Linked DNA regions of Drosophila melanogaster. The protein of the gene in region 1 interacts with the protein of each later gene in a pairwise test. Each region holds a gene or a part of one and is shown on either strand. Other genes may lie near its edges.

Region 1 (5,096 bases):
TTCATAACGCTTCGGCGGTATGGAAAAACAAGACAATCTAATCGAACGTAAAGTGATTGCCACTCCTTTTGAAATTGGATAATTCCGAAAATTAGTCAGTGTCATAGAAAAAAATGTTCTTTTGTTCTACAATAATGGCGATGGAAATATCCAGTAAATCGAAAAAGGTAATTACCATAACCATATACCAATTTGGCATATTTATAATGCTGTTTTGAACATTTTGAAACTTAATTTTTTTTTAAATCCGAAAGCAGTTGAATTTGACCACTTATTGATTGTTTCTTTTACACATTGGAATATGATATGTTTCTTTTATCTTGGGTAATAACCAAACACTTTTGCAAACCATTTATCACAACAAAAAGCAAAACAAAAATGTGAGCAAATTGATAACTTCTGTGTGTGAAGTGTTGGGGTTTACCCAACTTGAATAGTTTTAGGCTTCGATTTTCACATAACTTTTAACGAAACGACCATAATTCGTTTACTGGTTCGTTCTGTTGAGGTAAATACAATCTATACTTTCGTATCACTATTCGGCTGTAATTTGGATTGATTGCGATCAAACTGTGACTCACTTTCGCCGGAGGCCAGTGCTCCTAGAAATAGCGCTATGGCCAGTATGGCCCAGACTTTAGCCATCTCTCTTGAGTAACTTGGCAGTATGGGATTTCGAAATGATACAGGTGACTGACTATCGACCGAATTTCTTGAATAGAGCCACCGCAATGAGCCATCCCGACACATGGCCAGTTGATATTATTTGTGGTTTGCCTTTAGCTTATCTTATCGCCAAATGTGCGTAAATTGAATGTTGCCAAAGCCCCAAAGCTCCACATTGACAACAGCTCGATGGCTCGAATCGGCTGCCATAAAAGTAAACAAATGGCAAATCAAAGCAAAATTCGTTTTTGATTTCAATGGCACCAAAGGGAATGGATTTGGTAACGCCAGAACACCACAGTAACTGGTTGATTGGCTGGGATTAGACAAACTTTAAAGGTTATTTATTCTAATTGTAAATGGGGTGTCTTGTTTTGTTTTATTCAATTTTATTAGTAATTACGCCAAAAAAATATTTAACAAAAAACATTTAGCATAAAATGCATTGATCAGGAGGCTATAACCGTTGGAAAGCCGTGACTAATCGGACGCATTTTAATATCAGTCGATATGTTCCATAGAGATAGGAGTTAGTTGCTGCTTGTATGCAGTAGAATTCAACTTGTTTGTGTACTGAGGGTGTTTTGGTAAGATGTCGTTTTAAAATCTACAACACTATACATTGTTTTGTTTCATTTGATTGCTGTTCGATGGACTTAGGTACGAATACCTAATCAACAAATGGAATCATGTCTTTTATCCTTGTATCACTGAGGATTTGTTTTTATCTCAAAAAAAAAAAAAAAAAAAAACGTATGTACTAAGGCTAAGGTTTTGCTTGTAGCACCATTTAGACTGAGATCGTTTCCAAATTATTTTTTCTCTAGATTATTGATCGCTTCTGCGACGCGACCAGTTGAGTAAATCAGTGCGGCTTTGATCTCTTCCAGCTCAATTTGATGAATTACATCCAAATTCCCCTCGGATATTCCGACTTCGGGTTCTTGAGTGAATGCCGGGGGGTAATCGTAAAAATCATTAATAGAATCCAAAGCGTTCGATGCCTCCCTAGTGACCTCCTCATCATCAGAAGAAGAATTCTCATCATTAAAAGAAGCATCCTCATATTTAGAGGCATCATCATCTTTAGAAGAAGCATCCTCATCTTTAGAAGAAGCATCCTCATATTTAGAAGAAGTATACGCATCTTTAGAAGAAGCATCCTCATCTTCAGAAGAAGCATACTGTTCCTGAGATGCAAGTTCATATACACCATTTCCGACGGTTGGATTAAATTTGGTTAGTTGTCGGCCAGACCATCCTTGGGAAAGCCCCGAAGATGTGGATGACTCTTCGTCATCATCAGTGAGATCATTCTTGGTGTCCATTGGCGCTAGCTCTACTTTTAAGATTACATTTACGTTTGTCTCTTGGGAACTCTGCGAGCTTTTGTACTCGACAAGCGGATTGGAGCGGCGCTGCATTACCTTGCGCTCCATATGATTGGTATTGATTTCAAGAGCCTTGCGCTTCCTGCAATTGCGAAAACATATCTTATTAATCGGTAAATGTGAACACATTGTACCAATCCCACCTAATGCGAGGAGCTTCTTTTGGGCTTGATGCCTTCGAAGAAGCAAAGTAGCCGTTTGACGAAGAATAGGGCGCGACATCCCGTGCCCATGGCGAAGAAAGCGATGTCCAATTAGGCGATGGCTTATCAGCAAAAAAAGTACTCTGCGCCTTCTGGTAGGCAGCGGAACAGTCCAGCAATTGCTTGTGCTCATTCATAAAAGCCTCGAGATCAAAGGGCTGGGTTTCCACGGTCACTAAAGAAGGCATAAGGTTTTGCGATTACTAACTAAGCGAATGGAATGCACAAGAACTTTCGATTTGCAAACTTGTTCTTAACTAACCTCTGCGCAGCTGGCATCCCTCGGTGCGATACTGGTTCAGCTCCTTGTCCTTGGCATGGATAATCCCTAGCAGAAGGGGTATCTGAGCCCGTAGTCCCAAAGCCGTGGACATTGTGTTCAAGAACATTTGGCTATACAACTTTGGGAATAATGGCACTAATTATTATAGTTCTTGGAACTGATTCTGCTAAAGTCAGTTACTGACCTGTGCGGCATCCATGGGTCTCAGGTGCCATTCCCACTTGAGGAAAACTTTGAAATTCGCCATGGCATACTTCAGTTTCAGGACGTTCAATGGGTGCTGGTAATCCTGTTCGACATGCAATGGATCCTTGTTGAGCAGGACCTGGCGCACCAATTCCTCGGGAAACTTCACACGCGCGTTGAGCGTCTGGTCGAAAAAACGTGTTGCACTCACACTATTTCACCACATGAAAATGCGGAAAACTTACTTTCAAACGCTGCTGGTAATCGCGTTTCATCAAAGTCTCGGAGTAAGTCCACTTCTCGCGAGGACGGAAAACGTGAATAGTTAGGGTTTCATCATGCTGCCCCTCAGTGCAGGCGAACAGGTGCTGCAAGCCATTTATATTCACTACTTTCAATAGCATTTTGAAGTTACGTTTAGAAGGATCAGAAATCAAAGGAAAGAAACATCACTGACGCACGCCGTAGAGATGAAAAAGAATCGATAGTACCGTCTAGGTATCGAATTCTTACCAATCTATCGATTGTTCTTTGGCGGTAACGATGGTGATGTATAAAGATTCCCAACAAAAATGGGATGTAACTCTATACCTATTTGAACTAACCATTAGAAGTATAAATCAAATATACTTTATAACAGCATTATATTATATATTATAATGTTATTATATTATTATAATATGAAACAAGTAGTACCTAAACCTTTATGTGTTCACGCCACATCAACAGAGTCTGAGCGTAGGCTGGACGTATAATAGGTAACCGCAGGGCTTTCCTTAAAACGATCAATGCTGAAATACTTTTTCTGCAGGGAAATGCATGGATAGAATGCCTGTGCGTATTTCAATTAACTAATCCACGCGGTTGTATTTATAGACATGTATTTATATTATATTATATATTATAAGATCCTAAATGTGTAGATCAGTTATAGTTGTGACCCACCGATGGGAACAACACATTATTGTGGGAATTCAGGGTTCAGGAAAGCATTACTCAGGATCCAAAACTAGCCTCGTCTAGCTGTCTTTCATCCTTCTGTTGTAATCCTAGATCAGCCTGAAAAGGCTGAAAGCTTCTAAAGCAAATGGGATAAGGCAAACTTTAAAGATTATTTATTCAAACTGCAAACGTTTCTTTTTTTATCAATTTTATTAGTAATCGTGCCAAAAAATATTTAACATAAAATGCATTGATCAGGAGGTTATAACCGCTGGAAAGCCCTGACTAATCGGTCGATAATTGACCAGAAAATTTCCGGGCAATCATTTTGACAAATTTTAATATTATTCGATATGTTCCATAGAGATAGGAGTTAGTTGCTGCTTCTATGCAATGGAACTCAACTTGTTTGTGTACTGAGGGTGTTTTGGTAAGACGTTTTAAAATCTACAACACTATACATTGTTTTGTTTCATTTGATTGCTGTTCGATGGACTTAGGTACGAATACCTAATCAACAAATGGAATCATGTCTTTATCCTTTTATCACTGAGGATTTGTGTTTGTCAACTTGTTTGTGTACGTGTACTGAGGGTGTTTGATAAGACGTCTTTTTAATATCTACAACACTATACAGTTCTTTGTTTCATTTGATTGCTGTTCGATGGACTTAGGTACGAATACCTAATCAACAAATGGAATCATGTATTTTATCCTTTTATCACTAAGGACTTGTTTTTATCTAAAAAAAAAAAAAAAAAACAAAAAAAAAAAACGTATGTACTAAGTGTGAAGTTTTGCTTGTAGCACCATTTAGAATGAGATCGTTTCCAAATTATTTTTGCGCTAACTTATTGATATAGCTCTGGATCGCTTTTTCGATGCGTTCAGTTGAGTAAATCAGTACGGCTTTGATATCTTCCAGCACAGTTCGAAGAATTAAATCCCAATTCTGATCGGACTTTCCGACTTTGGGTTCTTGGATGAGTTCCCTTGGGGCATCGTAAAACTCTTTTAAAGATTCAACCTTCTTTATGACGAAATTGAAAGCGTTCGATGCCTCCCTAGTGACCTCTTCATATTCAGAAGAAGCATCCTCATCTTTAGAAGAAGTATCCTCATCTTTAGACGGAGCATCCTCATCTTTAGAAGAAGTATTCTCATCTTTGGAAGAAGCATCCTCATCTTTAGAAGAAGCATCCTCATATTTAGAAGAAGTATCCCCATTTTTAGAAGAAGCATCCTCATCTTCAGAAGAAGCATACTGTTCCTGAGATGCAAGTTCATATACACCACTTCCGACGGTTGGATTAAATTTGGTTAGTTTGGCCGACCATCCTTGGGAAAGCCCCGAAGATGTGGATGACTCTTCGTCATCATCAGTGAGATCATTCTTGGTGTCCATTGGCGCTAGCTCTACTTTTA
Region 2 (4,224 bases), on another chromosome or scaffold:
CTCCTGTCCATCTATACTATATGTATGGTATATATAGTTTTCCGTCGCCCACATGGAGTGGGCCTCCGCTCATTAGCTGCTGCATTCGGAGATGCTGAACAAGCCACTTAATTTAAATTTAAATGTTTACTTCTCGCTATGCGTGTGTGTTGCGTGTTGTGTGGGGCCGAGTATTTTGTCTGCGTTGCTTTTAGTGTTTCTACACCCTCCTCAACCAATGTATCACTCCTTCAGTACACTGCAAAAATATAAAGCATGTGAAATTAATGTTTTAAATTATAATGCTAACCACTCTAGCTTTATATATTAATTTTACGAATTTCTTATTGATACCTAATAACCATAAGTATAACATCTAAAGTTACTTTACCAAAGTTAGCAATACAATGTGTAGAGTGACTGTAGTGACAGCTTATGTTCTGTTCTAATATGCAGTTTAAGTTATTTTTTTGAACAGTGCATCATCCGCTCTGTGTCACGACAGGGCAAGATTTATTTTCGGTATTCCATGGGCGACTAAAATGCGCTGTCAGCGCAGCAGTTGCTGCCATACGTCGCCGTCGCCCGGCTATGGTCATGCCTTGGGCTTGGGCCATATAGATACATTAGCTGATGGTGGTCCGGATCCGGACCAAGGGGACCCACAGAGCGATCGTTCCCCCTCATTGCACTTGACACTCGAAATTGATGCGCCACTGCGCCCAAGCCGGGCCACATTAATTAGGCAAAATATTGACACGCTGACGTGTGGTGTTGCCTATTGATTAACGCGTCTTTTCAATGGGATCGGTTTTATTGGATTATTTTTAGTGGGATTTTGGGGGGATTGGTTTGGCTTAGTTTGGATCTTCACTTGTGGTTTTTTGTGTGTGGTTGGCTATTGAAAAGGCCTAGTAGATGGGCTTCCTCTTCGGTGGCAGGTGGCTGGGAATCCTCATGTTGTTGGCGTTGTGAGCTGGAATTTTCTTTGTCTTCCTGCTGCCGCCGTGGAAAGGACGAAGAACGCGTATGATCAACTGCATAAATGCTCCCCAGCGCGCATGACCTAGGGTTTAGATGAGGCTTTGGATTAACCTACATGGGACTGCTCTTTTCGTGGTCTTTTGATGCCCTTACCATAGTCCTGGAAATTGCATTTCCCCTTTGCCATCTTGGTGCTGAAAACCTCTGCCTTCTTATCCACTATCTCCGAACTAGTAACCATATTCGAGAGCAGCGATTTAGATTTCTTAACCCGCGGTGTTTCAGCTACCTCAGGACTATGTTCTGGTACCACATTGCATACCTCAACGATACCAGAGTTGGTCTTCAATGGAGGACGATCCTCCGATTTCATGCCATTTGCGCTGGCGAACCGAGCACAACTCTCCGTGGACTTCTTGAGCAGAAACCAGGATTGCTGGAGAACATGACCTTCTTCGATGAGTTTCTCGTAGCCATTGAGAATGCGGCGCACATCCACGTTGATCAGTTCCTCGGGAACCTCGGGAAGATCGCCAAACTCCTGAAATCAATACAAAAAGTAAATACATAAAATAGTTGCAAAGAATATTTCAAAATTTTGTTGAGCTGCACTTTTTAGTTGCAATTGTATCAATCGACTGTCATATGAACACAACCTTTAAAGCCCTTAATCGCTTTCAGCATTCCAATAAAACATTTTTGGGTTATATACAATTTATTTAAATATTAAGTATTTCACGCTGAAAGACAATCCAGGTCTGAATCCAAAAATGTTCGTCAGTATAAATCCAATATATCCTCATATAAAAGGTTTGCAATTTTTCAAATGACAAAAGTAACACTTAAATGAACTACTTGTCAATTAAATTTTGCTATGAACGTAGTAGTTTAGGGTAATAAGATTAAGCAATAATTATTGATGGTAATGCAAACCCACCTGCGAGTTCTTCCGCAGATCTTCAAAGCGCTGAATTAGCTTCTTGATATTAAGACTGCTCTTGGAACCCTTGGTGATCCCGGCACCCACACCCGCTGTAGTATTGGTTGTCACATTTTCATCGATCGAATCGGTTGGTAATGTCTCGGATTCCGACCCATCCATACTGGAGGAGCTCATCCTGCTGAGTATCTTGGCCGTTTGCTCCATGAAGGACGCCTGGCGATCGCGTAGCTCCTGCAGTCGCATCTTCAGCTCGTCGAGGTATGCCAGCTGGCGGGGTGTGGGCTGCCTGGTTGCCATTGTCAATTTTGCTATCCCACTTTTAGATTCTTTCGAACATGTGAATGGATCCGAAAATGCTTAAGTTTTCGGTTTTTTTTTTTGGGCTATGGATACTTGTGTTGGGCTTGTCAGACCAATTGTCTCTAAATAAGAGTTTCAGTGCTTAATACTATGACTGCAAAGAGACTGACTACTCGGTTACCGGTTTTATGACAACGCCACCATAGTTTGTAACTAAGTATGCTGTGCATTGGAACCCAAGGAAGTAAGCTATAACCATTCGAATTATTTCTTAAGAGCAAAGACCCTTTTAGCGATGTAACTATTCTATCATATACGTAATTTGATGTAAAGTGGATTAGGGTATTTTTAGAGTATCGCTTGGTCGTATTTCATAAGTTTGGCTCGCTCTTTGGACATGGCCTATTACTCGCTATTTTTATGGGCCCCAAATTGAGATATCTCCTGCAATTCTGGCTGAGCTAACTAAGTTGTAACTGCCCGCTGCCTCACGAAACCGATCCCTCCCCCAACTTTCATTCGCCTGTGGTTGAACAATGGAGCGATGTGGCAAGGACAGTGGGTGCGGAGGGGCAACTCCTGATACACCTATATATCTCTGGTTTAGCGTCTTGGCTGGACTCACCTTTGCGATGCTGCGGGTGGTTGGGGCTAGTTTGGAATTTCACGGAGGAAAACGTGCCGCTGCCATCGGCTGACGCCTACAATGAAGAAAAGGGGGCGTGTCGGCCACTCTGTGACTCCCAGACTGCTGTTGATTTCCCCCGGAGGTGGATACCAACCCCTCCAGCATCCTCCTCCCATGCCAGAGAGTGTGCAATTGTTGTTTTCATATTTTAATGCCTTTTTGAGTTGGTAGGCGTGCCACGACACGATTCTTCTTACCGATAAGCTGTTATTTTTATGGGCCCCCGCCGAATCGGATCGACTTGAAGTGGAGTCGGTGGTGCAGGGTATTGCCGGGTGGAGCCGGGTGGTGCTCCGTGGTGTGCGGTGTGGGCTGGCTGCCGACTTAAAGAAGTTAAAATTATTACACCGCAATTGTCTTGATCGTTGATTTATGTGCGCTTTTGTTGTCGGCTCTCCTGGCTCGCGGCTATGGTTTTTCGCTTTTTATTACTTTTTTGAAGTTGCCAGTTGGCCAACAGGCAAATTTGTGTGGCTGTTGATATTTATTGGGCATGGTCCGGGCATTGGCATCAATTGTGTATGCAACATGGGAAGTTGATTATGCCTCTCATTAGCCACCGTATTTTTTCCTTGTGCACGAAATGGCGACAATTCCATTCCCATGGACATGAAAGTGGCCCATTTGCAGTTTACTAGCACATCGGGTTTGGATAGTAGGTAATTTATTTTGCTAGCATGTCTTTTCGATTACTAATAGTTATTAAAATTACTAAAATAGTTAAGTTAAAATAATAGATTTATTAAAGATCATATTGATCTTGACATTTTTCTTATTTGCGTGGAAGCTAAAAACAGAATTTTCAATGGGATAGCCTTCCATTTCATTTCGAATTAGTCAATGGCTCTTTTCGGCAACTTTAGGCATTCCCTAATTGAGTTCTTGATTCGGCGACTCCACTTCCTCCTCAGCGTTTTTCGGTGAATGTCTGGCCGGTGTCATAATCTCATCGCCTCCTCCGGACCAAGCCCAACCCAATGCGATCCGATCCGAGTCCCATTGTGCGACTCCAGCACGATTAAAGCCAACCGCATTTGCAGCCGCCTTCAATTGCCTGAAAACTTAATGATTTCATCTTTCATTGAATTCAAATTTGTTTCCCCATCGGGCCCCCACGATGTCCGAGTGCGATTTGCAGCTGTGCAGGGAGCACGACGTTCGATGTTGGGGCACCGGCAAAATGTGCTCGATGTTTGGGGCTGCCGAATGTGGGCGTGCCCCCATCATACGCCCCTGGAGTTATTGTCGTTGCTGTTCTGCACTGTTGATAGCCAACGCCGCGGACTCGGTTGGCCGAGCCTCGAAAAATAACGAATTTATTATTTATTTC

The links.
Region 2: the proteins of CG32756 (region 1) and CG4218 interact in a two-hybrid assay, tested with the Drosophila melanogaster proteins (one large-scale study listed by BioGRID).

Annotation. Positions count from the first base shown.
Region 1 is NC_004354.4:5,943,798-5,948,893, reverse strand, and holds CG32756 (uncharacterized protein), read right to left. Parts: upstream 3,213-5,096; 5' UTR 3,134-3,212; coding exon 2,975-3,133; intron 2,914-2,974; coding exon 2,728-2,913; intron 2,662-2,727; coding exon 2,523-2,661; intron 2,436-2,522; coding exon 2,201-2,435; intron 2,140-2,200; coding exon 1,479-2,139; 3' UTR 646-1,478; coding exon of another isoform or gene 582-645; 3' UTR 541-581; downstream 1-540. Other genes in the region: CG6041 (uncharacterized protein), read right to left, coding at 582-645; CG12728 (uncharacterized protein), read right to left, coding at 4,507-5,096.
Region 2 is NT_033779.5:14,546,751-14,550,974, forward strand, and holds CG4218 (uncharacterized protein), read right to left. Parts: upstream 2,360-4,224; 5' UTR 2,204-2,359; coding exon 1,901-2,203; intron 1,836-1,900; coding exon of another isoform or gene 1,815-1,835; exon of another isoform or gene 1,665-1,814; intron 1,505-1,664; coding exon 1,117-1,504; intron 1,063-1,116; coding exon of another isoform or gene 1,046-1,062; coding exon 891-1,045; 3' UTR 748-890; downstream 1-747.